4 linked regions of the Yarrowia lipolytica genome follow. The protein of the gene in region 1 purifies or fractionates together with the protein of each later gene. This does not show direct contact. Links are inferred from orthologs where the notes say so. Each region holds a gene or a part of one and is shown on either strand. Other genes may lie near its edges. The genes, in order: YALI1_A05821g, YALI1_E19483g, YALI1_E05390g and YALI1_F12080g.

Region 1 (6,570 bases):
AAAAAATGCCTTCCTATAACATAACACTTGAGATGTGCTCTTTATTGAGACTATGACAAACAAAAACATATCTCCAATCAGATATAGTACACATAAAGGTACAAAAAATCTCATTAATTCTCTTCCCGATCTCTGCGAGACCCTGAAACTTGTCATCTCCTCCTGTTTCAGGTCATGCACGAGGCGCGTCTATACTGTACGAGTGATGCGGACGTGTTTTGGTGCAAATATCGACCAAATTTCTCCTTCTCTTGACCGGGGAGCTTCTCACAGCAATTATTGTCCTAATTTAAAGCTCACTGCCTTTTTTTGGATCGCTCCGGACACCCTCTTGAGTTATCTCATACCATTATCGCTCCGCTATTTTAAAAAAAGGTTCGGATCCAATATGAAAAAAATTATGAAAAAAATGAAAAAAAATGAAAAAAAATGAAAAAAAAAGTGTAGAGGGGATTTATGTACTACAGGCCACCCCACAAACATGTCATACTCGACTTGGAGCTGTTCACGTAGTTCCAGTCAGCGCTGAACGTCATGCAGGAACTCTCTGTCATCAATGACTCCACCACCGCCAACCTGACGACTGGTACTCTCGATTCGGTGTCTACAGAAATCAAGCTGGAGATCCTCAAACTCAGCAGCTGGAAACACTGGCGTTCAGTGAATCGTGGGAGTCGTACCGAAAGCTGTGGAGATCACTGGACAAGACGTTGGTGCGAGAAAATGTGCTCAAGAGAGTACTGTACACTGGTTCGCGTTGAACGAGGGATCCGCAGGTCTCACGTCCTGGAACTAGTGTGCACTCGTGCTGGTCGCGCAAACACAGAAAAGTCTCATCAAACAGCCCGATATTGGGGAACGGGATGGCTTCTTACTCGTCAAATCTCTGGAACTGTCTTGTCTGGGCAATGTGAGTTGCTATCGCCGCGTCGATGCAACCGATGAGAGTGAAGACAGCGACCTACGAGAGAACATGAAACCCGTGTTTCCGGACGAAATTTATCGACACCCTGACTCAATTGGACTCTACGGAACAAACTGATCCACAACGACACGCTCCTGGACCTGAAGAGCATGCAGACATCGAGAAGACCGACTACCATCCCATTGGACGACATGGTCTACCCAAACCATCTTCCCGGAAGTGCAGGTTTCCAGATCAAACGGTTCCTTGCAGCACACAATGTTTCCCCTTACTTAGGATACATTGAGCCTACCGAGGACTTGCGCCACATTATTTTTGTGCAGCTCCATGTGCGGATGCTGGTGGATATGATGGAGGAGACAAATTTCACCAAGAATATTGCGCCACCTACAATGGTTATCTCTACCATCTTCACGAAGGCCGTTTCCTGAGGCTGTGGGTAGACATGGGGTACTGTAACAAAAGAAGCCCCTAATGCGTCCTACCATCCGAGAGAAGATTGGACACGATACGCCTCCACAGAAAACCGACACACGAGCTCTGACTGCTATCAGCGCCCTTTTCCCCCAGCTTGGCACCTTTGTCGTCTTCCCATGTCTACAAGATTCTTGGAATTATCCAGGGCGACCAGAATCAGGGAATGGACCGATTTGTCACCCTTCAATGGACGGAGATGTCACCTTCGAGGAGCTCATGGAGTTGTCGTTGGTGATCTGCTGACGGGTGAAGCATCTGTGCAAGAACCACAGGCCGACCGTCAACTGGTCTTTCCCTACTTTATATTGGCAACAAGAGGGGGATGACGTGGGGTCTACTCGTTTTCGACATATATCAGCTCTCGACTAACACACCTCACGAGGGTGCAGGAGGTTGGGTCTAACAATCTGATTAGGCGATATTATTCCATGCTTTCTGCGCCTCTCAATATAACCGGATCACTAGTCCCTTTGTTGAGTTCGACTTGCAAGGAAAGAGGGTCTACTCCCTGTATCCTCGACGAACCTATGCTTCTCAGAGTTGTTTTGTTGATGATCCCCACAAGTTTACAAACATTGACTGCGACGTTGAGTTGGTCTACCAGAAGAACAAGGAGCAGGACTTGCAGAACTGGATTGTGGTTCTATTTGTAGGCGATATTCCTCCGACTGCGACGTTTCCTCCACTGACGCAGACAACAATGAAGACTCCGATATGGAACTGATCAAGCACGAGCTCAAAATCAGACATCATGGAAAGAAGCCGTCCATCTACTACAAGAAGGGCAAGTTTGATGGCATAAGAGGCGTCCTGGCAACAGATATGACAAAAAGGAGTACTGTACAGTACAGTACTTCAAGTTGTACCATGAGGCGTATCGGAGAGGGTCTGGTTACACGGATCCTAAAGACAAACCCCAAGCATGGCTAGTGGTATCATTCTTAACCATGAGAAACGAACCTTCTATATATTAAATTGAATGGTACAGTATATACTGTATCTGACAGATTAGTATCTCCAGTTCCATCAAAAAAGGTGTACCATACGATACACCACATGCAATACCTATATACCTACTTGGCCTCCTCTTTGACCTCAGCCTTGACCTCCTGCTTATAAGGAGAAGCGCACTTTCTCTCTTCCGTCAGGCCAGTCACAGGACAGGCCATGGTCTGCCAGTCGGTAGCGTACATCAACTCTCCGATTTTCGATCGAGCGAACAGAACTCCGAGCTCGTTCTTGGCTGTAGAAAGGTAGTAGTTGGCACCATCTCCGAGAGAAATGACCTGTGCTCGCACGATATCACCGGGCTTGAAACACAGCTCCATTTTGACCTTGTCTCGCTCGGTGGCTCGCACATCAATGGACCGAATGATACCACCGAAGCCCTCACCGAGATCTGATCGAATAGCGCCTTCCACCAAAGAGCCCGCATTTGACAGAGGGTTGCTGTGGATACCGTTCTCGTTGCCATTGAGTCCCAAACCCGCGTCCTGGCCCACTCCTCCCTGGCCCTCCACCACCAGAATCTCCACGTTGGCCTGTTTCGACGTGAGCTTTGAAACTCGTGCAAGAATGTAATCGCCAACCTTGGGCAGTCCCGACGAAGCCGAGGGCGACACATGGGATGTAGTAGGTGTAGTTGAAGATGAATCGTCACCCTTGGTCTTCTTCACAATGTTGACCGTGTAGCATGAGCCCTTGGTATCACGTGACTTGTCGTTGTGCTCCGCGCTCTCCTGTCGTTCGCTCAGCACCACCTTTCCCGTAGCTGTGGCGACAATGGCCTTGGCCTGCGACTTGCCAGCAACCTTGGCCTCGGAACCTTCCACAACTCGAACAGCCGTGCCGATTCCGGGGTAAAACTTGTTGCCGTCTCGGTCGACAACGAGAGATATTAAAATTCCAGGTGTAACGAATCCGGGGATCATGTTTTTGTGTGCTGTAAAATGTCCTTTTGTATGGGGTTTATGTTCGATTCAGCCATGCTGTGATGATTATGCATGGTAGTAATTTTTTAAGGTTGGGTTACCCGGAAGTCATTGGAGGCGGGTGGAACGGGAGGGGTCGCGATATGGAGAGATATAGTGGAGATATGGGATTACAAATGGTGGAATTTGTCTAGGCGGGTGTTTTAGAGATATTTTATATGGATTTTTTGTCACATTTGGCTGCTTATGAGCGTACTTGATGCGTGTTTTTTTTCTGATGCTTATGTTAGTTTGGTAAATAAATAGTTGAGTTTAGTTAGATAGTTGGGAAGTGGAATAGTTAGGCCATTGATTTGGATAGTAGTGATAATACCTGGGTGTAATACCTGTGATATGGATTTTGTTTCCGTATCTTCCTTGGTGCAATTGAGATGGTTGTTGAGAGCATTTTACTACCAAGAACTGCATTACCTCCATCTCCAATCCACCTGCCTTTCATACCAGCTGACAGGATATTTTCTGCGAGTAGAAAACATGCACCCTCATGCTATCATAATAATCGCGGCACCTATTCCCCTCACTTTCTATGGTCTTGGTCTTCCATAGCTTCTCCTGCTCGTATCTCTTCATGGTTTTGCTGTCAACGAACTTGGCCACAAACTTGTCGTCGACAAACCCCATAACGATGTCAGGATTCCTCTGATCCTTTTTAGGAGTAAACACATTGGTAGCAGTGGTGCTGGCAAGATCAATCACTAACACTCCCTCCATGAAGTTCCTCAACAGGAAGCGGCCTAGACCTGGCTTTTCACACTGACGGAAATGGTTGTTCAGGTCTCCGTAACCACTCACATTTGCGACCATAACAGTCTTGTCTCTTCTGGAGAAGAAGATCCCTGGCTGTTGCAGATCCACAAAAGGGAACACCACCAGGTGAGGCCATCAGAGACAGCAACAGGCTGAGCCGTGGTGGTGAAATGATCGCGTATCACTTTGTGTTGGAGGTCGAAGAACTGGTACTTCTCACCTTTTGAGCCGAAATAAAGAATATTGGCGCGATTCTTCAACTCTCTGCGATCGAACCTGTATTGAAGCGCGTTCTTGAAATGAAAGGGCTTGTCCCGCGGAAAGACATAGACCGTAATTGCTGTGGCGGCAGCTTTATCCAGCAGCTGGTTCCACGGTTGTTGAAACTGCTGTCTTTTGGGTTGTCATCGGGGCATCAGTGTAGCGTGCTTCTGCACCAGAAGATTCACAGCAGTTGCACACTATTGCTTAAATGCGGGAACGGGGAGCGGGGGGATGAGGGGCAATTTCCCGCTTGAACTTCTCGTTGAACTGCTGGAAATGAGCTGCTGTGTCTGCTTCTTCCTGTCTGAACGCCGTCTAGAGTCTGTTGGTGCGGTCTTTGCGCTGCTTGAGAGTACCGGTGTCGCCCATGTCGGGAACGACCTGTTGTTGTTTTTTTGGTGGCATTGAGAAGGAGCTATGACGAATTAATGTCGTCGATGTAGATGTCAAGTGTAGTTGGAGAAGCGCATCCCTGACGCGTAAGGTACATGAACGTGGAGTTTGTTTTGGGAGGTTGTTTGGTCAAATAATGTAGAAGGCTGATAGTTGGAGGTTTGAGTAATGACTGGGAGATTGGTTGGAAAGGTCAACTAAACACCAACTAACTAGAAAGCAAGTAAACAACTCATACTAACCGGAAGCGTCGAAAAGGTGCTTTCCACCGAACAGTTATGATCGATCTTCGACTTTTAGGAGTTATTTATATCTTCCCATGTAGTAATTCGTCACCTATTGCTTCTCTTTGTTCCACCTCGTACGGTGATTGCAGAAGCTATTTCTCTAAAATTATCACCAGCTGTATCCGGAATTATAATGGTGGGTGCAGTGAAATTCCCTTCAGGAACGTACTTGCGCAGTATTAGAGTGGAAGTTTTTCTGACAGCAGTTTCTGACAATAAAATAGAATAAAATAGATGTTTTTTTTCCGTGAATTTCCTGTCTCTCCAGTTCTGTTTATTCTCATTGTAATTACTCATATTTTTTTTTCTGGTCTTTTTTCTTTGGTCTTTTTTCTAGTCTTTTTTTTTTTTCACTTTTATGAACAGTAATCATTATACTTACTGGCAATTTTTCTCCCACTCCTATCCGGAATTAAAATGTCGGCAGCGGAATTCGATATGGAGCCGATCTTTTCACAGTCCGAAAGACGCGACCAAAACCGCCACCGATAATCATTACTAACCCTGCGCCTCGCTCGTACGGCGTCCTCGACGTTACGACGGATTTATGTCACCGAAAATAGCGCCGTTTTTAGCGCCGTTCTGCAGCAAGAGAATGTCATCAGGTGGAGATGACAGCTGAAGGGGATCACTGAAGACGGACAGGAGCCCTCTGAGATACCATGATCCCCAATACCAACGACTATCGCTTCATTTCCCCCAAAAAACACATCTAACCATGTGTTTATACTGCCAGTCTACTCTTATCACATACGGCTTCTCCTCCGCACTAGTGGCTAGACTAACGGTCTTTGTTTACACGATATATAGGTGAGGGTGGAGGACAAGCGGTGGAAAAAAGATCATTTCAACCGCTTCAACCGCCATGTCTAGCACAACCTCGTCTGAACGACTCCTTCCACCGAAAACTTATGTGCCTGTGCACCACCCCAAGCTTCGAAAGGGCCACTGGATGGTGGCCAAGATGTCCTTCTTCAACGTGCTCACTCTGGCCATTGCGTTGACCGGAATTCTGCCGCTGTTCTGGGGATCCATGTACAAGCGGTCAGATCGAGCCCACAATCTGAAGATGGCCGTCATCAACTGGGACAACGACGTGGTTGGAAACGCCTTCGTTGATCTGGTCAACGAGCGACCTAATCTGCCCCATCTGGTGACTATCAAGCCAGTGGTGTCATCCGAGTACACATCTCTGGAGCAGATTGAGGAGCTAGTGGTGCAGTACAAGTTCTGGGGCGCCTTTGTGGTGTTTGAAAACTCGACTGCTACGTTACGGGCTGCCCTTGAGTCGGGCAACCAGGATGACTACTGGTTCAAAACCCTGCATTACTTCAACACTGGAGGTCGACAGGAAAGTGTGCATGCCACCTACTGTCAGCCTCAGGTTGATGCTCTTGAGTTTCTCTTCCAGGAGCAGAAGGTTCCTGAGATCATTCGAAACCTGACAGCCGACTTTTCCAACGACAAAATCAAAGACTTGCTCACC
Region 2 (7,641 bases), on another chromosome or scaffold:
CGGCCAGATCAACGCCCTCAGAGTCGAGAATACCAACGTAAACAGACTCCAGACCCACCTCGAGGGCCGGGAGGTCGCTCAAATGAGACGCAAGATTGCCTCCGTGCAGATACGTGACAGTCTGGAGCGAGTGTTGTTCTGCACCTGTGAAACGTGGAGGCTCTGCATCTGGAGCATCGAGAACGTGCGATCGGGCCTTGACGGATTCAGCCAGTCGCGCCTGGTCGGCGTCGACGCCGGGATCACGTGTAAACACCACGTCTGACGGCTTCACATGATCTATGAGCTGTCGCAGAAGATCGTGTCCCGCAGCACGCACCCAGCCGCAGGTATTGAACACCAGGGGCAGCTTGAGACCCTTGGCGAAGTCGATAACTGCCTTACACGCCTCAATGTACCCCCTGGTGTCATCTTTGGGGTTGTTGTAACCCACAAACCGACTGTAGGTGGGGGCTGTAACGTGTGTGAAGGAGGGTCCCAGAATGGAATAGGGACTAAGGTGACCTGCGCCAATAACAGTCACAGACACCTGACCGGGGGCAGTGAACTCGCAATTGCTAGGATCTAGATCCACAAACGCCACAGAGGTGCCGGTCTTTTTGGTGGTCATGAACGCACTCAAGTATTTACAAAAGGTGGACTTGCCGGTGTTTTGAGAGCCCACTACCATGGTGGAGGAGTGCTTGAGTCGCCGAATGTCGTCACACACTTCGGCCCATTCGTCATAGATGCCGGGAATGACCGCTGCCTGCGATTTCGTCACTACACTGGCTGTGTTGTAGATTCTGCTGTAGTTGCTGCCGTCATCCTCAGAGCAGTGCCACAATTGACGCACAAACGGCACAATGTTGCCCGAGGACATCTTCCCAAAGTTGCTGACCGTAATCAACGGGTTTTCTGACCGTCGCGGCATTGCTGCGATCTCCACAATGACCGAGGATCCCTCCAATTGATGCAATGCCTCCATGACGTCTTCGTCCCCCGATTCTCGAGTTTCGGGAGCTCCAGCAGCAGCCTCGATTTGAGGAAGAGCGTGAGACGCGGGCGCAAACACGGGAATATCGACCGGAGAGTTGATGTTCACCAGAGCTCCGTTGATATGGATAACTCCACTCCACACCGTGACTACATAGGCTCCCCGTAGAACGATGGTTTCTTTGAATTTCATGCCGTGGAAAACTCGCGATCGACCGCGAGTCTCATCTCGTACCACCTTGGTGTTCTTTGCACTGAAATCAAAAGTGCTGAGCTGTCTGACGGCCTCATCTTCTTCGGTGATGCTGATGAACGACTCCTCTGCATCCGGAGAGTCCAGAGGAGGGTTGGTGACCACAACGACTTCGGGATCCGAATCCTCCGAGCTGATGACCTGTTTTTTCGTCGGCTTCAGCGCACTCAACGCACTTTTCCGCTTCGTCATGGTGGCTTTGAAAAGATTTCAACTACCCAGTGTTTTTTCTCACATACATGCACATGCATAATAATTTTCGAATAGAGTTTGGGGGGGGGGGAAAGAGGAGCGGATTATACGAATGATATTGGGGGTGATTTTGGGGGCGATTTCGTGTGACAAACATGAAATATCATTGCATTAAACCGCTAACAATGTTGTCATATCCATTGTGTCAAAATTACAACTCCGTCGGATCATTTTTGAGCGTACTACATTGTGTTCTCTAGACCCCTACTTTTCCCAAACCAATGATACAAATCTATAATGCTAGTTATTTACTGCTTGCCTCGCTTCTTGTTGAGCACCTGCTTCATCTCCTCCTCGTCCGAGTCAGGCAGAGCAATCTCGTTCTCGTCCTCGTCCTCTTCGTCACTTTCTTCGTCCTCGTCCTCGTCCTCATCATCCTCACCTTCGTCCCCCTCACCCATCTCGACATCGTCATCATCGCCCATGGCCATGATCTCGGACATGTCGTCTTCCTCATCGTCTTCGTCAATGTCCTCTTCGCCCTCGACAAACTCGACCTCGGAGTCGGACTCCTCGTCGTCGTCGTTGGCGCCGTGGCTGGCGTTTCGCAGTTCCATCTGGGCCTCAAGCATCTCCAGACGGCCCTCCAGAGCCAGCAGACGATCCAGTGTGTTGACTCGGGTATTAAGAGCCTTGTGAAGTCGCGACACAGTCACCAGCAGCTTGGGCACGGTCACCAGGTATCCTCCATGTGCCACCATGACCCACTTGATCCAGGCGTTGAACTGTCGGCCTCTAGAGGGTTGGGCGGTCATCTTGGCAGCCAAACGCTCCAAAAGTAGCACGGCCAGATTACTGTTGAGTCGCTGGACGGTAGACTTGATGCCCTCCTCGTCTCGGAAAAGGAGACACGACTCGAGCAGATCGTCGTCGTCGGACTTGATGGCCTGGGTAAGAACAGTGGATAGAGATCCCATGGTCGGGGGAGCAGTTCCGGAAAGTCCGCTCTTGGTGGTCTTGTTTTCTCGCTTGAGAGCGTCCATCTTTTCGGCCAGAGTGGCAGACTCGTCGTCATCGGACTCGTCGCTTCCTACACCGTTCTCCAGCTGTGAATAGTCGTCTCCAGCAGCAATGATAGCGTCCTCCTCGTTGTAGGACACGGGCACAGTTCGCTCCTCGGTGTAGTGGTTTGCGGCGTTTTTGGGGTCGTGCACCACCGTCATGGTGGGCTCGGTCTCCAGAGCAGCCAGAGTCACGTGTGCAAACTGGGCCTGGGCCCGCTCGGTGTACGAGTAGTAGGCCTCCTTGGCGGTGAGCGCGATGGCGTCGATGACGAGGTTCTGGCCGGCAGCCTTAGTGCCCCGCTCCAGGTCCAGCGATGCAAACGAGGACTTGGTGACAATGCTCTTGCGCTTTCCCTTCTTGCTGTTGGGGGTGGATCCGTTAGTCTGGGCGAGCTGGAAGAACTCGGCGGCTCCTCCCTCTGTCAGGGCGGTGAGAATGTCGCCGTTCATGGAGACACGGTGGGCACCCGACTCGGCCATGAGCACCAGCACAATTTTCTTCTGAGCCACGTTAACCACGTTGATGAGACGGTCGCCAGCAACGGCAGCAACAAGGTCACCTCGAACACACAGCTCGGTGACAGTAGAGGTGTGCGAGGGGATATCAAACAGAGCCGAGTCAAACGAGACGGCCGACGAGTCATCGCCCTGGGGGCCGTAGACGGCGATGTTGTGGGTGGCCAGCAGCACGTTACCCGAGGGCAGAACGGCCACCAGCTTGGCGCCGGTCTTGTCCACAGATCGTTCCACAGAAGAGCCCTTCCACACGTTCAAAAGACCTCGGTTGTCAAGCGAGTAGGTGGTGCCGGAGTTGGCGTCGACGTCAAAGTCGGCCACAGGCAGAGAATGGCCGCCTCGGAGAGCAGACACAAGCTTGGCCTGGGCGGGAGAAAAAGTGAGAATGTCGCCCCGGTTGGTTCCCACAGAAACTAGATATTCCTCGGAAGAAGCAGCCGCCGAGTCCTGGGTCTTGGTCTTCTTGCGTCGAGAAGACGACGAGGCGCCCTCGCCAACGTTCTTGGTCCACTTGAGAGCAGTCACAGTGGTGCCCTTCTCCAACACAAACTCCACGGGCTGGAGACTGGCATTGGCGCCTGAGACCGCCTGGACACGGATCTTGTGCTGGTTAAGCGCACTTGTGACGCTGGCGTACTGCGTGAGAGCGGGATCGAATCGAGACAGCTGTTCCGACATGATGTGTGTGAGTTGTGGTGGAATTATCTGGCTTGCCTGATGGTTGTCCAAGTGCAGGAAAAAATAATTTAAACTCTGAATTTTTTTTCTGCATGAAAATTGACCGAGACTTGTATTGTAACAAGTACATCTGGTGTGGTAGAAGAACAGAGCAGAGAGCGTTGGAGTTGCGGGGAAGCGTGGAAACGGGGAGTTTTGGGGGGTTCCGACTCTTCGGTGTCGACCCGAAACGTGCTCGACACAAAATATCTCCTCGTATTTGCCACTATATGTCATTCTCGATGATCCACCGTAAACGAGGTTACTTTAGCATCACAACGGGGAATCGAACTGGCGCGCTGTCGAACGGTAGAGGAGTTGGCAGGCGGCGTTGGTTCGATTTTGACCTGTGCCCGGAATGGGAAACATTTAGTTGTCGTGTAAATCCTCCAAGACGAGACGGTCGCAACAAACCAACTCAACCATAGTACACCATTGTACAGGAGCTGTACAGTAGCTACACGCCCATAACGATCCCACCAATACCAGATTGACTCATGCACTAGGGTTAGTCACCGACAACACATAATCTGTTTGTCTCCAAATGCTCAACGAAATACCACACTTTGGACCAAACCGGTCCGATAGTCGTGATAAACACCCCCGGTTTACTCACTAGCCGAAAAACTGGACCCCTTGCAAGTATTTGTTGGCGTTTTAACAGCTATGTAACCCCGATGGTCTAAACTGAGCTTGTTCATTGTCACCAATGTTGTGGTTCGGAGTGCAACAGAACAACCCAAAGTCGGTTCTTGTCGCCAACAGCCGGCTGTTCCCTCCTTGGTCTCCCCCCTCCCTCCCCGCCCCCACAAAATTGCTCTGCGACGTCTCATTGAGTCTGAGCTACGTCTCATTGAGTCTGTGCTACGTCTCATCGAGTGTTTGCCATCACGTGACGGGCCCAAAAAAAAAAGGTTTCTCTTTGAGTTCCCGCATTTTAAGCTCATTCTGGAACCTTAAACGGGGTAGTAGTTGGATGATGGATGAGAATGAATTGACTGACAAACTTGTACGTGTTTTGAGGGAACAGGGTTGGTTGCCCAAAGGCACCAAAATCAACAGATTAAGAGTGGGAAATACAATTCTTGGGGCGTGGCTCTGGGGGGGGTATGTAGGATCACGTGACCTGGCTGGATCGGTGGCGCCGTTCTCCCAGTGCGACTTGCACTTTCCTGTAGGGTGGCTATCACTGTTTACGACTCTTGAACTCTATCTTTGGGAGCTCGAAAAATATATAAACATGCATAAAGCATACAAGGCGCGTAAGAGCGACGAGTCCACCACGGCACAACCACACGTTTACCACAACATACACGCAGTGAAATGAGCGACAGAGAAACTTCAGGGAATGACGACCTTTCGTTGCCCAAGGGTGAGTAGAGCCGGAGGGGGGGTTGTGTTTGTGTTTGTGTTTCTGTTTGTGGGGGGTTGAAAGTTGTGGGTCGGTTATTAACCCAGCCACGGTGCAGAAGATAGTGAGCGAAATCATTCCGTCAGACCTGGCGTTTGCCAAGGACACCCGCGACGTGTTGATCGAGTGCTGCATCGAGTTCATCATGATGCTGAGCACCGAAAGCAACGAGATTGCCGAGAAGGAGAGCAAGAAGACGATTGCGCCGGAACATGTCATCAAGGCTCTGCAGGAGCTGGGATTCATAGACTACATTGAGCCCATCAAGGACCTGATTGTGGAGCACAAGGAGGCGCTCAAGTCGCGGGAGAAGAAGGTTGGAAAGCTGGAGCAGTCGGGCATGACCGAGGAGGAGCTGTTGAGAAAGCAGGAGGAAATGTTTGCTGCCGCCAGAAGCAAGCTCAACAACAACGCATAGGGTGGGGGAGGGGGACAATGAGGTGGCGACACCAAACGGTTGGATAATGGGATAATGGGATAAATGGGCTGGTTAGGACAATGTGTGCTACATACAGGATAGTCTACGTGTGGTCGATGTGACGACAGTTGCATCCACGAAACGTACTAATTGATACTGTGGTGTTGGCTCTATGTCAACATCTTTTGGCATGGTGATCTAGAGTAGCGGCCGAGCCGGTTCCGCGGGTGTATATAGATGTATCATATTTGATTTGCATAGGCACCTTTTGGATTGGATTGGATTGGATTTCACCAAGACCAGTCCTTTTTTTTTTTTTTTTTTTTTTTTTTTGAAAAAACAAAAAAGGGAAAATATTTTTTTCTTCTGCATTTATTTCCAAAAAAACTCGGCTGATGAACAAATAGTTGAGTTTACAGTTGAGATTTACTTGACAAAAACATTGTTTTTGGCCTCGATCTGAGACACGCTACAACTCGGCGAGCATCGATATTTTCACAGATTGGACCCTGTACATATAAGCACAGTACCAACAGCCCCTCTGACACCTCTCAAGCGTTTGTAGCTCTTTTCAACCAGCCATTTTAGCACATGTCTGTGTCTGCGACTTTGGTTTCTTTTCTGAAAAACTATTGCAACTTCTTGGGCAACAGCAAGCAGTGACCGCGAAAATGCACGTATAACAAAGGGTACAGGAGTCCAAATCTATTTTTTGAAAGTAAAAAATAAAATGCCAGACTCGTGTGTATCCGACGATACAGCTCTCGCGCCCTGTGCATTGTATTATATGTTTCTACAGCCAAACCAAAAGTGCCCCAGCAGCCTACATTGAATTTCCCTTGATGCGTTACCCTACCTTCAACGCTAAGGTTAACGTAACCCATCAAAATATAGGGAGGTATGGAAAAAAAAAAAGGTAGCATTACATTGCACCGAGTGTCCACGCTATCTGAGAACGACAAATACAGCAAGATGGACACAAACGCGCTGTACTCGTGCTTCGAGGCCACCACCAACGGCAACCCCAACACCATCAAGCAGGCCGAGGCCCAGCTCAAGGAGGTGGACAAGATGCCCGGCTTCATCCACAGCTGTCTGGACATTGTTCGGGAGCCCCAGGCGTCGGACAATGTGCGCAAGGCCGCCTCGGTCTATCTCAAGAACATGGTCACTCGAAACTGGAACCCCCACACCTCTTCCAAGAAGCTGATCCGGGTCGAGGAGAAGCCCGAGTTCCGGGAGAAGCTGGTGCCTACTCTTGTATCTGTGTCCGGGGCTGAGGGCGTCAATTCGCTGCTGCGATCTCAGCTGGTGGCCATGCTGGCATACATTGTCGTGCTGGACTACCCCAAGGACTGGCCATCTCTGCTGGGCCAGGCTGAGCAGCTGCTTCAGAGCGAGTCGGACCAGGACAAATTCACCGGCGTGCTGATCCTCACCGAAGTCACCAAGCGATACCGATACACCACCGGCGAGAGCCGAGCGCACCTCAACGAGATCATCACACGCACTTTCCCCACGTTGCTGCTGTTTGGCCAATCGCTGGTGAATCAGGACTCGTACTACGCTGGCGACATGCTGCGACACATTCTTAAAATGTACAAGTACGCCACCTACTACAAGCTGCCCGTGGAGCTGCAGGGCGACGATTCTCTGCGGCCCTGGGCCGAGCTGCATCTCAACGCCATCACCCGAACCCTGCCCCAGGAGGTACTGGCTCTGGACGTGGAGGACCGTGAGCTGCATCCCTGGACAAAGTGCCAGAAGTGGGGCTACGCCAACCTCTACCGAATCTACCACCGATACGGCGCCGAGTCGGTCGTGGCCGCCGAGTACGAGGCCTTCAGCGCCCGATTCAACTCTCAGTACGTGCCCGAGATTCTGCGGGCCTACTTCCAGCGCATCGAGGGCTGGGCCAAGGGTGAGATCTGGATCTCCGGCAAGTCGCTCTACAAGCTCGTCTACTTTCTGGAGGACTGCATCCGAGTCAAGGAGAACTGGCACTTGATCCAGGACCACATTGACACTATTGTGCGTCACGTGGTCTTCCCGCTGCTGTGTCTGACTGAGAACGACCTCGAGGCGTTTGAGGACG
Region 3 (8,007 bases), on another chromosome or scaffold:
TTGTGGTGGATCAATTGAGCTCGTTTGATGGCCTAGTCTAATCTTTTATGATGGGACGCGTTTCTATACTGGAAGCGTCCCTCGTTAACACTGACACCCCAGGCGGTTTTGAGCAATCACAGTCGCACTGACTATATATTTATGTATCAATTAATGCCTATTTATCGATTAGACAAAGAGCAGACCAGTAAAGAGAGCGAGAGTGACCTCGGGAACACCAACAATGCTCTGCTTTTTGATGTGTCGCTGGGTCTGTCGTCGGTAAGACCACACAGAGAGACCAGTGAAGCAGATGGCACCGGTGACGTAGATGTATCCGAGAGAGATTTTCGCCCAGCAGTTGAAGACGCAGTTGACCTCCTTGTCGGTCATCTCACCGACAAGACCGGTGTATCGGGCCCACATGACAGCCAGGGGTCCGAGGGGCTCAACAACTCGCTTGAACAGGGGAAACAGCAGGGTGATAGGAGAGTACCACTCATTGAGGGTGATGTTGGAGATGTCGAACTTCTTGGCCAGCTTGTTCTCGCACTCGCAGCTCTCAAGAGACTTGTTTTTCAGGAGTGCAACGCCTCGAGCAGTGTGAATGGCAGCAACAACGGGGAAGGCAGCAGCAAACAGAGTGTAGCCAGCAACGGTGCCGGTGAACTGGTAGAAGGAAGGCTCCTTGATGAGTGTCTTGACGGTGTCGCAGAATCGAGTCATTGTCAATGTGTTGTTTTTCAGTTGTCTAGAAGGTGTGAGAATAGTGTTGAGTGACCTGTCACATGGGTTTGTTGGATGGGGTTAGGGAAGCAATGTTCCGCCTTAGACGAGAAGGATAGACTTTTGAATATGCAGGACCTGCATTATCTACTGGAGGCGAAGACATTCAAAAGGACATATTGTAGCTTGTATTTTGGCAAATCGCTCAACCCATAACCACGTTTGCTTGGTGTGGATTTCTTTGTGTCTTTTTGATATCTTTGGCCTTGTTCTCATGGACCTAAATTCTCTGTGTGGAGTTACTTTGCCACAGTGGCAAAACGACCAAGCGAAAGTGAGTTAAGGTGCAGCACGGTTAGTAATGGACCCTTTGATTGGCCACAGTTTTGTCTGGACAACTCAACAACCGCTGGAATAGCGATACTAGAGGTTTATCTACGACGAGAATGGTTTTGTAGAGGAATCACCAGAAGAATCTGAAACAGTAGAAAAACCAATGGCAAGTAAAGTTGCAAGCCGTTGCATTTTAGAAATGTAACAATGAAACCATCTGAAAGTCAAACATGTCGCCATGGTAGTCCCGGCAGACATGGAGCTCTCGCGACCCCCTACAACAGTTGTTTCCTTTAACAAGCACCCACTGTAATTACCGTATGTACTGTAAGTGGGGTTTTGAATTATTTTACAGGCCATCTCATAATGACTACTTGTAGGGGCTGTTTATTCTGTTTATTACACCCCTGGCCAACTTGGGACAAGCACAAGGGCTACGAACATTGATATTTCTCTCACCCACTTTAAAAACATGACATCAAATCCACCGTATATTACAATCTATATATTTTAATACTCCATGAGTACTTTAAGTTGTTTGTTGCCTATGTACGCCGTTTCTTGTACTGGACTGATCGAGCACCTCCATCCTTGGGTCCTCGTCGCTTAGAAGCACCCTTGGCATCCTCCTTTATTTCGTAGGGGTTAAACTGTTTCTTCTCCTTGGCCTTCTGTTTTCGGGCAGTCATGGCAGCCTTCTTCTCGGCGGCCTTCTGATCGTCGGACTTGAGAATAGAAGCACCAGCAGAGTAGTCAAACGGAGTGAACTCCTCGGACTTCTCCTTTGCTACTCCCTTCTTAGCCTCCTTGTCAGCTGTGTACTTCTTGTTAGACTTGGCAATAATGATATCATTGGCATGCTCGTGCTCATCTTCAGAGTAATCAGACTCGTCGTCAGCAGCGGCATCCTGCTCAACCTTGACCTCCTCCTCAGCGTTCTGGACTTCGCTATCAGATTCAGTAGAGTCAACAGATAGGGGTGCGACGGGAACCGCCAAAACCATCATATGCTTATCAATCTTGGAAACACCAAGAGGACCTAGAGCAGTCTCCTTTACATGTACAATAGACGACTTGGAAGAGTCGAATTTGCCTGTGATATCTGACTGTCCGTCCTGGGCTGCCAGGAAGATGACCTCTGCGATTTCAGAAAACTCTGCCCCCTCAATAGACTCGGCAGCGAGGACGGGCTCCTCCTCAACCTGCTCTACCTCAACATGCTCGTCCTTGGAATCCTTGATGACGTCCAGAATCTCCTCAACGTTTTTTCGAACAAGAAGCGGGAGAGACTTGGATACACTGAACACAGCCTCGGGCGTTTGAGGCATTCGGTTGGCAAGTGAAACGAGCAGATAGTTAGGCATCACGTAGCCAGTAGACTCGTCCTCCTTTCGAGCCATGCTGTCTCTCCACAAGAAAAGAGCCTTGGCGACTGAGACACTAGGCCCAGTGATGTGGAACTGAGAAATGAGACGATTGATACCTCCCTCGTAGTCGAACGACTTGAGATAGTACCTTGGGTCGTAGCCGGTGTACTCATACCTCTGGGAAGCAGTCTGTCTGCTCTTTTCCAAAACTCCCTCGATCTTGTCCTTCTGCACGAGCGCATTCTTCAGCTGATCGTAGATGTTGAGCAGGAAGTGGGTATCTGCTCGGGCGTAGAGAAGCTGCTCAGGCGACATAGGTCGAATTCGCCAGTCACTGAGTTGGTACTTCTTAGAAGTGACGAAGTTGGCGTAATGCTGGAGAAGGAACGCTAAACTGTGTCCCTTGAGGCCAAGGGCCTGGGCGGCATGGAAGGTGTCGAACAGAGACACAATGTACAGACCGAAATCTCTTTGGAGCCACTGAATATCCATAGTGGCTCCATGCAAAACCTTGACAATCTTGGGGTCAGTCAAAACCTCATTGAAGATCTCGAGGTTTCGGAGAGCGATGGTGTCGATGATGTAATCTTGCTCCCGAGAGGAAACCTGCACAAGACATGTGATGCCGTAGTATGTTCGCATGGAATGATGTTCGACATCGATGGCTATCTCCTCCTGGGTCTTCAGGTGGTCAACCATGTCTCTGAGTTTCTCCTCTGTGTCAACGTAGATGTATTCATCCTCTCCTTCAGCCTCCCATGGTCGGTTAGGAATGACCTCTGTCTCCTCGTACACCTCATCTGGGTAGGGCTGCTCCATTATCTCCTTGGCGTAGGGCTGTGGGTAGTGATCTCGTCTGTCATCTTCAGTCACCAATTCGAACGCGTCCTCTAGGGGCTCCAGAGCATTTGGTTTCGAGGTGAGTTTGGGTTTGAAGGGAGTGTCTCTCGAATTGTCGACCTCCCACATCTCCTGGGGCTTCCATTGCGGCCCCTTGATCTCGCTAGATGACTGAATGGCATTTCCTACTCGGATCTTCTCTCCGAGCGTCTGAGGGCCAGTCTTCTTGGACTCGGCAATCTCAACCTTGTCTCCCTTTTTGTTCAGCTTTCCGAGCTGAATGTCGGTTTTCTCGTACAGGTCATCGACAACAGACGAGAACTCATTCCAGTGTCGGTTCACAGTGTCGAGCTCGGGAGGAAAAGATCCCACTTCGTTCGGGGCAATCTTCTGGGCCAGCTGGTTGACCACTCCAATGAGCTGTGATGCATTCTCCTTCACGCTGTCGGCCACCTTGTCATCAATAGAGCTGTAGAACTTGATGTCGTGCGAAGCAAGACCACGGGCAGCCTTGGCAGTCTGTTGGGCCAGTCGCACAACACTATCGATTTCCATCTTGTATGTGTTGTGGTGATGGGAATGGACTGGGAATAGGCTGTTGGAAAATTGATGCATATACAGAGAAATAATTTACGATTAGGTTTAGGGCTAGCTAACACAAATCGGGTAGTAATACGGTACATACTATACTTGAAGTTGGAGGGTCCAGCGGATATGGTGAAGTGATAGACAGGTATTCTCTTATCCGTCCTACTCTATTCGACGAGCGGATTTTTTTTATTTTTTGTCAGTCTCTTTGGTGCAACCACCGAAATCTCTCTCTACTATACTGCTTGTGCTGTTCTACGACGTGCATACTTGTATTACTTGTAGGTCGTCTAGCTAGATTGTCTATACCGAATCTTTTATGTACAATGGGTGCTCATACAAACGACCCAGTTATCTATTCTTCATCTTCAGCCTCCTCCACCAGCTCCACGATATCGGTTCCAGGAATCAGACGAATGGTCACATCTGTCTCTCCTGCAATGATGCCCCACATGATGGATCCATCCCATTGTTCTGCAATGTCATTGTAGAGACCTTCCAGGATATCTGGGTCGTTGGACCCCTCTCCAAGAACCTCCTTGATGGCTGCATCCATGCTGCTAGAGCTTCCAAACAGCCATGGCCGGTGTGCAAGAAACAGAGGATTCTCTACCTGCTCCAGCACTCCTTCTCGGAACTTTCGGTTTGCAGCCACCAGCTCCTCATATGTGAGACCCAGAGACTGGAACATGGCCTCTGTAAGTTTTCGAGAGATGGGGGATATGGGAACCTCATCGGGGAAAACTCGAGGCAGCACGTACTTCCACAAAATATCGTCCATGTAGAGATCAGACGAGAGGAGAGGCTCTGTGGGCTTGAAACCACTCTCAGCGACATCCGCCAGCTTCTTCTTGTTGTATTGCATCTTCTTAATCTCCAAGAGAACCCGTAGCTCGGACATGTATTCGTTCATACCCACAGGCTTGTGATCGTGAGCTCCCCACCACCATGTAACCTTTTTGCCTTCCTTCAGAGCCTTGACTCGGTCTGCACGAGCTCGCTGGGCCCAGGGGTCGTATGTGAGGTTTCTCGTGCGTGCCAAATCAAATATTGCGGTGCAGCCGATGAGTGCTGATCCAGTGAGGATGCCTGTAGCCTTGACTGCTCTGTATGGCCACTTTCCGTATTTGGCCCTGAAAGTTGATCTCCGCGGATAGGCTAGCAGCAAGACGCCCACACCCATCTGAGCAGCACATACAATGGTAAGTGCATATTTGTTATCGGCCGCGGGTACCAGTTTGCCCCACATGCGCAGGACAAATGAGGGCTGCTGATACTTGGGAAAGAACCCATCTTGGTCTTTGTCGTTTGCCATTTTCTGTGTCACGTCAACTTCCTAATCAAATGCTTTTATGTTGAGTGTTTGCCACGTTGTGTTAACCGCCCGTTACTTGTTGTAAGGCTTTTCGCTCTTCCTCTCGGCGTAATGAGTGAAGATGGCGTAAATCAAGTCAAATCCTCCTGTTCTGCACGATATGTGATGGAAATGGCATGCATGACTAAGGGGTCCTAACCCTACAACTACAGTAAAGAAACACGGAGTTTGATACTGAAACTATTTCATCCAACAGGACACAGCTATCGTGCACAGAGCAACACTACAGGTAGAAAGAGGTTACCAGCGAATATGTTTTCAATATATCTCAAACGGTGGACGTTACATAAAATCAAGGAGCGTAATCATCAACGGCATCATCACTTGAAGCCACATGTATAAGTGTATGTACTGTACTTCAGATTTGTGCATGATCGCCACGAGCAATATCTGAGAGCTTATAATATAAGTCAAAAAAGGTGACGAGGGTGGTATCGCGAAGGTGGCGAAGACACCAAGTGTGACAGACCCCGGCTAATTGCGGCAGATTGTTATTGAGGGCTTTTGGCTCAAACACGTCGAATAATTACAAGTGCCCTATTTGGACTCCTTCATATCGATACTGCATTTGTATGGGCAGGAGGCGATTATACAGTGAACTACAGACGACACCATAAATGGAGTAACCACTGTAGAGATAGTACGGGCTTGGCTATCGTAACCGTGTATCACACCCTGGATATATTGTTCTTAAACATTAGCGGCCCATTGCCTAATATCACCGGTGTCTTACGACTCAGCAGTCATTCGTGATTACAATACCTGAAAGGAGGCTGCCTCCTTTGTCACAGCTTACTAAATTTGAGTCAAGCCCTTTTCCAGAAGCCCATATGCATGACGACGCGTGTACGAACGCACAAGTACTATGTTCATTCGTTGTCTTTGGTGCACCCGGTTATCTGATTGTTAACATTGATAGCAACATCGCATTGTTGTTCATGCCTGAGCATTTTATCAATCTGACCAAGTGCACGACTTCATTCGAAGTCGTGCACTTTAATTACGTCACGGTCAATTTTGCGTGAATAATGCTCCATCGGTTAACTCCTCCACTCAGCGTAACTGGGTTCCGCACTATCTCTTGGTTAGGATCATTAACACGAAACTTCATTCCCCTCTAAAAGTAATAGCGACAACAGGAGCATGTATTGGTAATCGATCTACTTTTATGTGGGGTTAGCTCGCGCCGTGCATATGGCATGTTGGCCATGGCTTCATTGTGGCTTGGGGCCGTCTATGACGAACACTATATATTAGTAGGACCTCGTCTCTAATGAGGTTACAACTTCTTATCCGACTCTACAATACCAAGAAAAATGGCCCGCACACCTGTCTACTTCATTCCTCATGGAGGCCCCACCTTCATGTACGAGAATCACCCTGGAGGAGATAAAGGAGCCTTTGACTATCTCAGACATCTTGGACGAGATCTGATCCAGAAACACAAGGAGAATCCCGACTCTGTCAAGGGCGTTATTGTTATGTCGGCCCACTGGGAAAGTGCGAACCAGCAGGACGAGAACCCCAAGGGTACCGGTAACAACGAGTTTCCCAAGGTCAATGGTAAGGGTATTCCCGTGGGAATTGTGACTGACAAAAACGACAACTACCCCAACCTCGAATACGATTTCTTCAATTTCCCAGCCCACATGTATGAGGAGAAGTTCTGGGCTAAGGGCAACCATGCCTCTGCTGAGAAGATCGCCAAACTTATTGATAACACCCCTGGCTACTATGCCCAATTGAGAAGTGACAAGAAGTGGGATCATGGCGTGTGGGTCGCTTCCAGAGTTATGTTTGAAGAAGCTGGTGAGGAAAAAGGTGCCCTCAAGTTCCCCATCATCAATATTTCAGAACCTGCAGGTGACGACGTGGACCATCTGAGTCCTCGACAGCTGTCTGAGAGATTCTACAACCTCGGCAAGGCACTCGCACCTCTGAGAGATGAGGGATATTGGATAATTGGATCCGGTATGTCAGTTCACAATCTTCGAGAACGACGTAAGTTTGCTGATGGTGGAGAGCCCGAGTATTCCCAGCCTTTTGAAGATGCTGTCAAGGACGTGGTAGAGAATGTCACGAGTGTGCCTGTTTCTGATGAGCAAAATCTGGAAAACCTTTCAGAGCTTTGGAAGAACCCTCACCGACCAGCTGCCCATCCCACCGCTGAACATCTCTTTCCCTTCTACTTCTCAGCAGGAGCTGCTGACGGTGACAAGGGTGTTCAGGAGTACACAAAGATCTCAGGCAGCACTGCATGGGGTCTATTCAAATGGGGTGGTTCCACAGGAGATTATTAAATGCTGTTTTTAGCTGTGTCTAGCAATACCATCATACCCCTCAGTTTGTGGGGAAGATCCTGAAGAATGTGCGAGCAAGACATGTGATTCGTAGCGTTCGAGCATGGGTGGCTTGTTTATGCCTTGGTAATTTTCACCTTTAGAGCCGTATGAACTATATTGAATGGCAACCGAGAATACGATCGAAGTGTTCGTTCAAGGCTGAGCATTCGTATGCCATGTTCATGTATAACTCGTGCGAGATATTGTGGACGGCCCGTTCCGCATAAGTACTGTCAATACATATCGAATCAAAACCAATGAAATTTTCAGCCTCTTGCAACCGTTGAAACATTAGGTGTCCAGCTATCTCATGAACCGACGGTTATCGGGAATGAATTCCGTAGAGTTCCAGGAAATTTAACCTGCCAGTTTAGCACCAACCCTTGAGGTTTATCAAAATAGGCGTTTGGAGGAGATCCACTTCTTCTTGAGGTCCGCTGGAACAATGAGGGCGTAC
Region 4 (7,400 bases), on another chromosome or scaffold:
AAGGGCCCCGGCGGCAAAAGCAACCCCGAGTCGGGCGAGAGGTGTGCCGAGATTGCCCAGAACCTGCTCGTGTACGGACACATGCGGGTGGCCGACTACCTGGAAGCCACCCCCGAGCACGACCGAGACAGCGTGGAGGCCAGTATCGCGGTGATGCTGCGCAAACGGTTTCTGGTGCCCGTACAGGCGTGGCAGTTCAAGCCCGAGACAGATCTCTACGCACGCATGTTCAGAGACCACCTCAGTAAACTGCCTCTGTCCATGGCCGAGTCTGCCCGAAAGAACCAGGCTGCGGTAAGCGCCAAAACGGAGCTCGAGCGCATGCAGGAGGAGCGCAACTCGCTGAATCTGGGATTTGTGTCGGGCTCTGTGGCCCGAACTAAGGGCGTCCCTGTCCTGAACCGCGCCGAGAAGCTCGACCACCAGGCCGTGCTGTGTGCCAATCCCGACAAGTTTCTGGTGATTGCGCGAAACGAGGAGCTGGCCAAGCTGGCCGAGGAGCGATGTGGCAAGACGGCGGCCGAGGTCTACAGACAGTGTCTCAGCAAGTACGTTGGCCGTCTGCATTCTTGCACTCAAGACACTTCTCCAGGCGCTGAATTCAACATCACGTCGATGGAGATTGCCAAGACAATCGATCCTCGCCTGGACGGTCTTAGACCGCGAGGAAAGGGATCACGATCCGTTTCTCCCCGGCCGCAGAGCAAACGAGTCAAGACTGAAGAGGGATATACAAAGACTGGAGACTATGACGAGAAGGAGGTGGACGTTGAAGAAGATATGGAAGAGGAGTTGTCGGGCGTTGCTTTAGCAACAGCAGTATCCAAACAAATGCAGATTTTGGCAGCCTCACCGCTCAAGTTTGTGCAGAGCGTGGGCACCAAGGGCGGAGGAGAGTGGTACGTCAACTTCAAAGAGGCTACCGAGTGCCTGCGGGGCGCGCGATACGAGCAGATCATTCAGTGGAAGTACGGCCGCGTGGCCAAGCGGTTGCTGCGAGCTGTCAAGGACAAGGGCAAGGTGGACGAAAAGCTGCTGACCAATATTGCGCTGTTGCCCGTTAAGGAGATTCTCAACCACCTGCACGACTTGCATTCTGTCGGCGCTCTGGACGTGCAAGAGCTGCCTCGAACCGCCGACAGAGCTGCGTCTCGAACCATTTTTCTGTGGCATCATAGAGCCAACCGGGCATACTCGCTCATTTCACAGGACATTTACAAGTCTTTGTCGCGCTGTTTCGAGCGGGTGGCTGCCGAGCGTGCCAAGCTGCCCATTCTGCTGAGCAAGCTGCAGCGAGAGGATGTCAAGGGACACGAAGATGAATTTCTGACCGAGCAGGAAAAGGCGGATCTCAAGGGACTGAGAATGAGAGAGGAGAAGCTGCTGGTGCAGATGAACAGGTTGGATGGTTTGATTCGGGTATTTAGAGATTACTAGACGACGAGCGAAGCCAGTCGTCTGAGCAGCTCAAAAGACTCACTTGATCGGAGTGAACGCCTGACCGGAGTGTCTGAACGCTTGGTCGGAATGGTTGGATAGGACTCACTTGATCGGAGTGGTTGGAGGAGACTCGCTTGAATGAGGCTCTCACCAGTGATAGGAAGAGACTCACTTTGAGCAAAGCGACTGAATGAGAATACTCACCCATGTAAAGAAATACTAATTGCATAGAGAAGGAAAGAGCTACTTGTGGGTGAACCGAAATGTCATCAATGGCGAGTATGGGCTGAGCACTACAAGTACTTGTAGAACGAGTAGATGTTTACCTAACACTCGCCCAACTACTGTGTCAAGCAGTAATCCGAGCACCCTAATGAACTCCGAGGATCTGATATTCTCTCTAACTGGCTCCTACTCATACAGTACGTACCTAGTCTCTTGTAAATAGTACATACTGTGCCACAAGTCGGTCTTTAAGGCAGATCTGGTCTCGAATTGCCCCCTCACCGACCTCCGACCTCATCAGTTCCATCTAACAGTTCATTAATATCTATTTAATCCATGCACCATGCCAACCAGTCGATCCACTTCGGGGACCCAAGTATCGCGCTAGACTGGATTGTACAGGTCTCGTACCCTATGTACCGGATACGTGACCTCATGCTAAAACACGTGACCTCACTCGGGCGTAACACGTGACCTCTCATGCCAAATACAACACACCTGTGACCCAAGTCTCCTGCTCGTCTCGTCCATCTAATCAACCCGCTTCTTCTTCTTGGACCAGAAGGCTGCGGGCAGAGGAATGTCGAACGCCGGTCGCTCGACCACCACGAGCTCGTTGCCGTCCACAATCTCCGCGCCGATGATTGGTCTGTATTTGCTGGTCGACCAGAAGGCGGTGGTAGTCTGGTTTTCGGAAGTGACGGGTTTGGCCGTCTCCTCTCCATCCAGACGTCGCTTAGGGACTCGCTCGACCGGAATGTTGGTCGAGGTGTCAACAAACGCCAGCCAGGTGGCTCCCCACATCCACACTCGCTGGGAGTGCTTGGAACTGGGGTCCAGGAACATGCCTGTGCAGTGGTCGACCGAAGAAGCCACGGGGTCGGGAATCTCGGGGTTGGATCGGCTCCACTCGGTCAGCAGACCCGAGCCGAGATCGAACTCCACCACCTTGTTGTCGGCCGTGGCCACCACCAGTGTCTTGGCGCCCGTGAAGGCCATCGCGGTAGCGGGAGCAGCAGACAGACGCATGAGTGTTCGAGCGTGTTTGAAGCCTCGGTCGCCCCGCACAAAAATCTCCGTGTGACCCGATCGCCGCGACAGAGCCAGATGTGTATCTGAAAAGGCAGCAGCGACGATTTCCGTCTCGTGTCCGTGGGCAATGAGGTTGCCCTTGAGCACCGCCTCGGGAACCTGCAGCTCTTCGATAGGTGCGAGCTCCTCGTTAAGCGAAATGAGAATGACGGAATCGGAGGAAATGAGCAGCAGCTCTCCAGCGGGCGAGAAGACGGTCAAGTGGGCTCCCTCCAGATCCATCAACTTGTTGGGTTTCAGAACGGGATGGCCCTTGGAAGAAAGCACCTCCTCGAGCTCGAAAAGTTTGGTCTCCTGAAGAGAAGACACCGCCAGAAGAGAACCAAACATGGCCACGTCAGAAATGTTGTCATCGGCAGACATGGTCAGTTTGCACACCAGTCTTCTCTGGCCGCCCTCAAGGCGTCTCCACAGCTTGACAGTCTGACCGTTCCACATGGCCACAATCGAGCCATAGACGAGAGTCTGGGTTCGCGGGGGAGCCACCGAGAACTTTCGGTAGGGGCCCTGAGCAAACTCGTTAACGGAAGCAACCACAAGCACCTTTTCCACGCCTCCAGATGCAAGAAGAGACAGGTTTTTGGCCTCGTAAGTAGCCAGAGCTCGCACGTCGTGGGCATTGTAGCCCCGCACGTTGGTCTGGTTCCATCGCTTGCCCACAGACTCGTAGCAGGCGATGGTCTTGTCGACACCCGCCGAAAAGACAGCGTCTCCGGCTGCATCGACTGCCAGACAGAGAATGTCGGCTTCGTGGGTCTTGAACGACTGGTTCAGAGCAAAGTGCGTGCAGTCCCAGAACTTGACCGAGCCCGTGGAGTCGCCGGAAACGATCAGATCGCCCTTGGCTCGCTTCACAACCGCCACGGTCCACACCAGAGTAGCGTCGTCCTGTGCCACAGGTCCCTTGGCAGTGTCGACCTTCATGGTGGCAATGGTGGATCCGTCTTCGTCCCAGACCCGGATCCGCGCGTCCGAACAGCCGCCCACCACCTGCGAGCCTCTCCATGCCAAACTGAGCACTCGACAGGTGTGTCTCTGAAGGACTCGCGAATGCTCCATCACACCAGGGCCTCCAGACAGATCCACCACCACCACGGAGCCGTTTTCGCAGCCTGCAGCCAGCTTGGTTCCGTCGTCGCTCACGGCAATGCACCAGATCACACCGCTGTGGCAGTCGTAGTTGACTCTGGGCTGGCCCGTGGACACGTTCCACTCGGTGATAGCGGTCGATCCTCCGATGGAAAACAGCCGCGGCTTGCCAGAAGAGTCGCCCGAGTCAGACCACGCCAGCCCCTCGACAGACCGGCCCTTTCCTCCCCGCAAAGTCGTCTCATGGAGCCAGTTCCATCGGGGGTTCCAAATTTCGATATCTCCATTATCTCGTCCCACAGCCAGTCTCAGGTCCGGCGAGGCGTTCTGGTCCAGCTCGGAGCGTCGGCTGAACGCCAGCGCCGTGATTCCGGCCGGATTGTAGTCCACAAAACGGCATCTATGAACGTCCATTGTGTTGTGTGCTGTTTTTGTGATATGTTGCACTCTCACAATTTTTTGGCTTACCTATATGCATATGCAGATTTTTTTTTATTTAGGCTTTGTCATGTGACTAATGGGTGATAGAAGCACCTACAAGTAGCGGACTATGTAGAGCCTGTATAACAAGAAAGAGGGCTTGAAGAGATTGCTAAAGACTGAAATGCTATGACAGTGGTTTCATTTTTGGTTTTGGCCACGTTTTACGTGTTTTGGAATTATCTCGACGAATAGTGGACGTAATAGAAATCTGAAAGAACCATGATATGGAGCGGAAAAAGACCAACAAGATGCATTTTTCAGAGTTGTTTTATCTAACCAGCAACACCATATTTTGTATAGCAAAGTGTGGTCTGGCGATGTTAAGTGTAGAGTCAATGGTGTTCAGAAGATGACTTGAATGGAGATTGATACTGGGCGTAATAAGTTTGATTTTATAATAATATCGTAAATTGACCGTTGCAACAACTTGCACTCTTGGATTTGTCTATATATATTCTCTAGTCTGTCTTGTAGATGTGTTCTGTTCTGCTTAAAGTAATTCTCAACAAACATTTATACTAAGCCAAGTAACACGTAACAAACTATTATACCAAGTCAAGTAATATGTAACAAACTATTACACCAAGTCAAGTAAAAGAAAACGGGGGTTCCATGCCCCCAAACGGACGAATATCACGTGAAAAAAAAAAAAAACCAAAAAAAACCAATCGTCAAATACATCTATACCACTTTGATAACCCCAAATGTCCTCTTTTCCTCCACTTTTCCACTCTCTGAATCACATGTCCCAAGCTGGAATCGAACCCCGCACAATATACAAAGTTTTCCCCCGGGTGGTTACCGTGGCAACGGCCTTTGTTGACGCGTTCAAACATCCCTTTGTCGCATCACTATACACCTGCCAGTTACATCAAACCACCACTCAGCATGACGACGGCCAAAAAAACACATGTCGGGGTCAAAGCCAACAACCGCAACGAGGCCAAGCTGTACTCGCTACTGGGGCAGTATTTCCAGGAGGCGCAGCGGTCGCTAGTGGCGCAGAGAAAGATCATTGTGTCCATGCAACAACTACACGAGGGAGCAGTTCAGTGGAACATGGAAGAGCAGTTCACGCGCAAGTTTCTGCTGCTGGTGAACCGCATGCTCACGTGCAAGAAGGGCGACAAGTCGGCCGACAAGGTGGTCGAGTTCATCGGCTCGTATGTGGGACGTCTTCAGGAGGAAGAGGAAGACCGGGATGAAGATGAAGATGATGAGGAGGAAGAGAGCACAGTGGCGTCTCGTTTCTGCGAGGCACTCATTCGTCACGTGCTCCGAGGAACCCAGGCCAAAGATAGACATGTGCGGTTCCGATGCTGCCACATTCTGTCTACCGTCATCAACTCTCTTAGTGACATTGACGACGACCTTTTTGAAGACCTGCGAGACTCCATGTTTGCGCGGTCGTACGACAAGGACGCCAGCACACGGCTAAAGGCCGTGTTGGCTCTGTGCCGAATCCAATCTTCTGCTGAGGAAGGAGAGGAGGAGTCCGCGGAGGAGAAACAGCTACAGGAGCTGCTACTGAGCTTGATCCAGAACGATCCCTCGGCCGACGTGCGCCGGGCTATCCTGTTCAACCTCAAGGTGACCAAGAAGACCCTTCCCTATCTTCTTGAACGTGCACGTGATACCAATTCCATCACGCGACGGTCGGTGTATGGACGGACCATGAAGAGCATTGGTGATTTCCGAATGCTGCGGATCGGCATGCGAGAGAAGTTGCTCCAATGGGGTCTCAAGGACCGAGACACGAGTGTGGAACAGGCAGCCACAAAGATGCTTGTCACCCAATGGCTCGAAACCTGTGACGGTAGCGTCCTGGAGCTTCTGCAGCGTCTCGATGTGCTCAATTCGACTGTAGCTGAGACTGCCGTCGAGATTATATTTGACCAGAAGCCCCAAATGGTTTCCAACCTCTCGTTCAAAGATTCGTGGGACACCTTGACACCAGAAACGGCCTTCCTGGCGCGTGTATACGCCCAATACTGTCTCAAGAAGGGCTACGACGATCTAGTGGACGCCCAGGTGCCAGAAGTTACAAAGATTGCTTTCTTTATTGAGCGCGATCTCCAAAATCTGACCGTGGACGAAGAGGGATACTCCGAGCGGGAGTTTGTGCTTGAGCAGCTTTTGCTTCTGGCGCAGCAGCTGGATTTTGGTGATGAAATCGGACGACGAAAGATTGTGGACGTGCTCACCAATGCGCTGACTAATAAAGATCTCTCTGATACTCTTGTGTCTGCGGTTGTCAACGTGTTCCACAAACTGTGCACCCGAGAGCGAGACTTCATCCAGGTGCTGGTTGAAATCGTGGTGGATATCGAAGACATTGCACGTGAGTCTGAAGACCCAGACAGAGTGCTTTGTACCACTTTGCGGTGTCTGGCTATCACACAGACGGTGCTTGAGCAGGTGGAGACGTCTCTGGAGTCGAATGTCGAGCTGAGCGGTCTACTAGATTCTTTGGTTCTTCCCTCAGTTCGCTCTCATGTGATTACAATCCGTGAACGGGGTCTACGATGCCTGGGTCTTCTTTCTCTGTTATCTCGTGAACAAGCGTCGGACAATCTCATGGTTTTCGGACACTGTGTTCACAAGGGCGAGGCTGAGTTCAAGGTTGAAGCTCTTAAGATCATGTCTGATATTTTGGTTCTTCATGGTCGTTCAGTTCTCGATCTTCCCGATAAAGTGGACTCTGAGAGTGTGCACAAGCTGTACTACCAGGCGTTGAAGAACGCCGACATCCCCGAGTTACAGGCTGTTGCCGCCGAAGGACTGTTCAAGCTGCTTCTCTGTGGCGTCTTTTCCAACCCCGATCTTCTGGCGGGTATCCTTCTCAACTACTTTGACCCACAGAGTGCTTCCAACGGTGCTCTGAAGCAGGTTTTGTCTTTCTGCATTCCTGTGTACGCCTACTCACGTGACGAGAATCAGCAGGTGCTTGGATCGGTGGCTATTCCTGCTATCGATAGAATTCTGCGTCACCTGGAGGATATTGAAGATGATCCTCTTACCGGTGCCACAGAGATGATGCAGCAGGTTTTGGACTGGACGGATCCGCGACG

The links.
Region 2: the proteins of YALI1_A05821g (region 1) and YALI1_E19483g purify together in Saccharomyces cerevisiae (affinity purification with mass spectrometry; 3 studies listed by BioGRID). This does not show direct contact. The link is inferred for Yarrowia lipolytica from reciprocal best matches to the Saccharomyces cerevisiae genes CSL4 and UTP5.
Region 3: the proteins of YALI1_A05821g (region 1) and YALI1_E05390g purify together in Saccharomyces cerevisiae (affinity purification with mass spectrometry; 13 studies listed by BioGRID, with this or other methods). This does not show direct contact. The link is inferred for Yarrowia lipolytica from reciprocal best matches to the Saccharomyces cerevisiae genes CSL4 and RRP6.
Region 4: the proteins of YALI1_A05821g (region 1) and YALI1_F12080g purify together in Saccharomyces cerevisiae (affinity purification with mass spectrometry; 3 studies listed by BioGRID). This does not show direct contact. The link is inferred for Yarrowia lipolytica from reciprocal best matches to the Saccharomyces cerevisiae genes CSL4 and UTP4.

Annotation. Positions count from the first base shown.
Region 1 is NC_090770.1:578,941-585,510, reverse strand, and holds YALI1_A05821g (uncharacterized protein), read right to left. Parts: upstream 3,334-6,570; coding exon 2,476-3,333; downstream 1-2,475. Other genes in the region: YALI1_A05844g (uncharacterized protein), read left to right, coding at 535-660, 827-910, 1,072-1,356; YALI1_A05836g (uncharacterized protein), read left to right, coding at 1,400-1,629, 1,868-2,126; YALI1_A05813g (uncharacterized protein), read right to left, coding at 3,829-4,197; YALI1_A05798g (uncharacterized protein), read left to right, coding at 5,632-5,663, 5,709-5,898; YALI1_A05795g (uncharacterized protein), read left to right, coding at 5,950-6,570.
Region 2 is NC_090774.1:1,944,384-1,952,024, forward strand, and holds YALI1_E19483g (uncharacterized protein), read right to left. Parts: upstream 3,955-7,641; coding exon 1,729-3,954; downstream 1-1,728. Other genes in the region: YALI1_E19458g (uncharacterized protein), read right to left, coding at 1-1,420; YALI1_E19488g (uncharacterized protein), read left to right, coding at 4,427-5,044; YALI1_E19494g (uncharacterized protein), read left to right, coding at 5,041-5,089, 5,176-5,546; YALI1_E19508g (uncharacterized protein), read left to right, coding at 6,447-7,641. UniProt on the Saccharomyces cerevisiae protein: Involved in nucleolar processing of pre-18S ribosomal RNA. Required for optimal pre-ribosomal RNA transcription by RNA polymerase I together with a subset of U3 proteins required for transcription (t-UTPs).
Region 3 is NC_090774.1:535,168-543,174, forward strand, and holds YALI1_E05390g (uncharacterized protein), read right to left. Parts: upstream 3,861-8,007; coding exon 1,584-3,860; downstream 1-1,583. Other genes in the region: YALI1_E05353g (uncharacterized protein), read left to right, coding at 142-759; YALI1_E05403g (uncharacterized protein), read right to left, coding at 4,189-5,148; YALI1_E05416g (uncharacterized protein), read left to right, coding at 6,525-7,508. UniProt on the Saccharomyces cerevisiae protein: Nuclear-specific catalytic component of the RNA exosome complex which has 3'->5' exoribonuclease activity and participates in a multitude of cellular RNA processing and degradation events.
Region 4 is NC_090775.1:1,203,749-1,211,148, forward strand, and holds YALI1_F12080g (uncharacterized protein), read right to left. Parts: upstream 4,261-7,400; coding exon 2,197-4,260; downstream 1-2,196. Other genes in the region: YALI1_F12033g (uncharacterized protein), read left to right, coding at 1-1,437; YALI1_F12052g (uncharacterized protein), read right to left, coding at 1,477-1,517, 1,571-1,626, 2,008-2,147; YALI1_F12089g (uncharacterized protein), read left to right, coding at 5,218-7,400. UniProt on the Saccharomyces cerevisiae protein: Involved in nucleolar processing of pre-18S ribosomal RNA. Required for optimal pre-ribosomal RNA transcription by RNA polymerase I together with a subset of U3 proteins required for transcription (t-UTPs).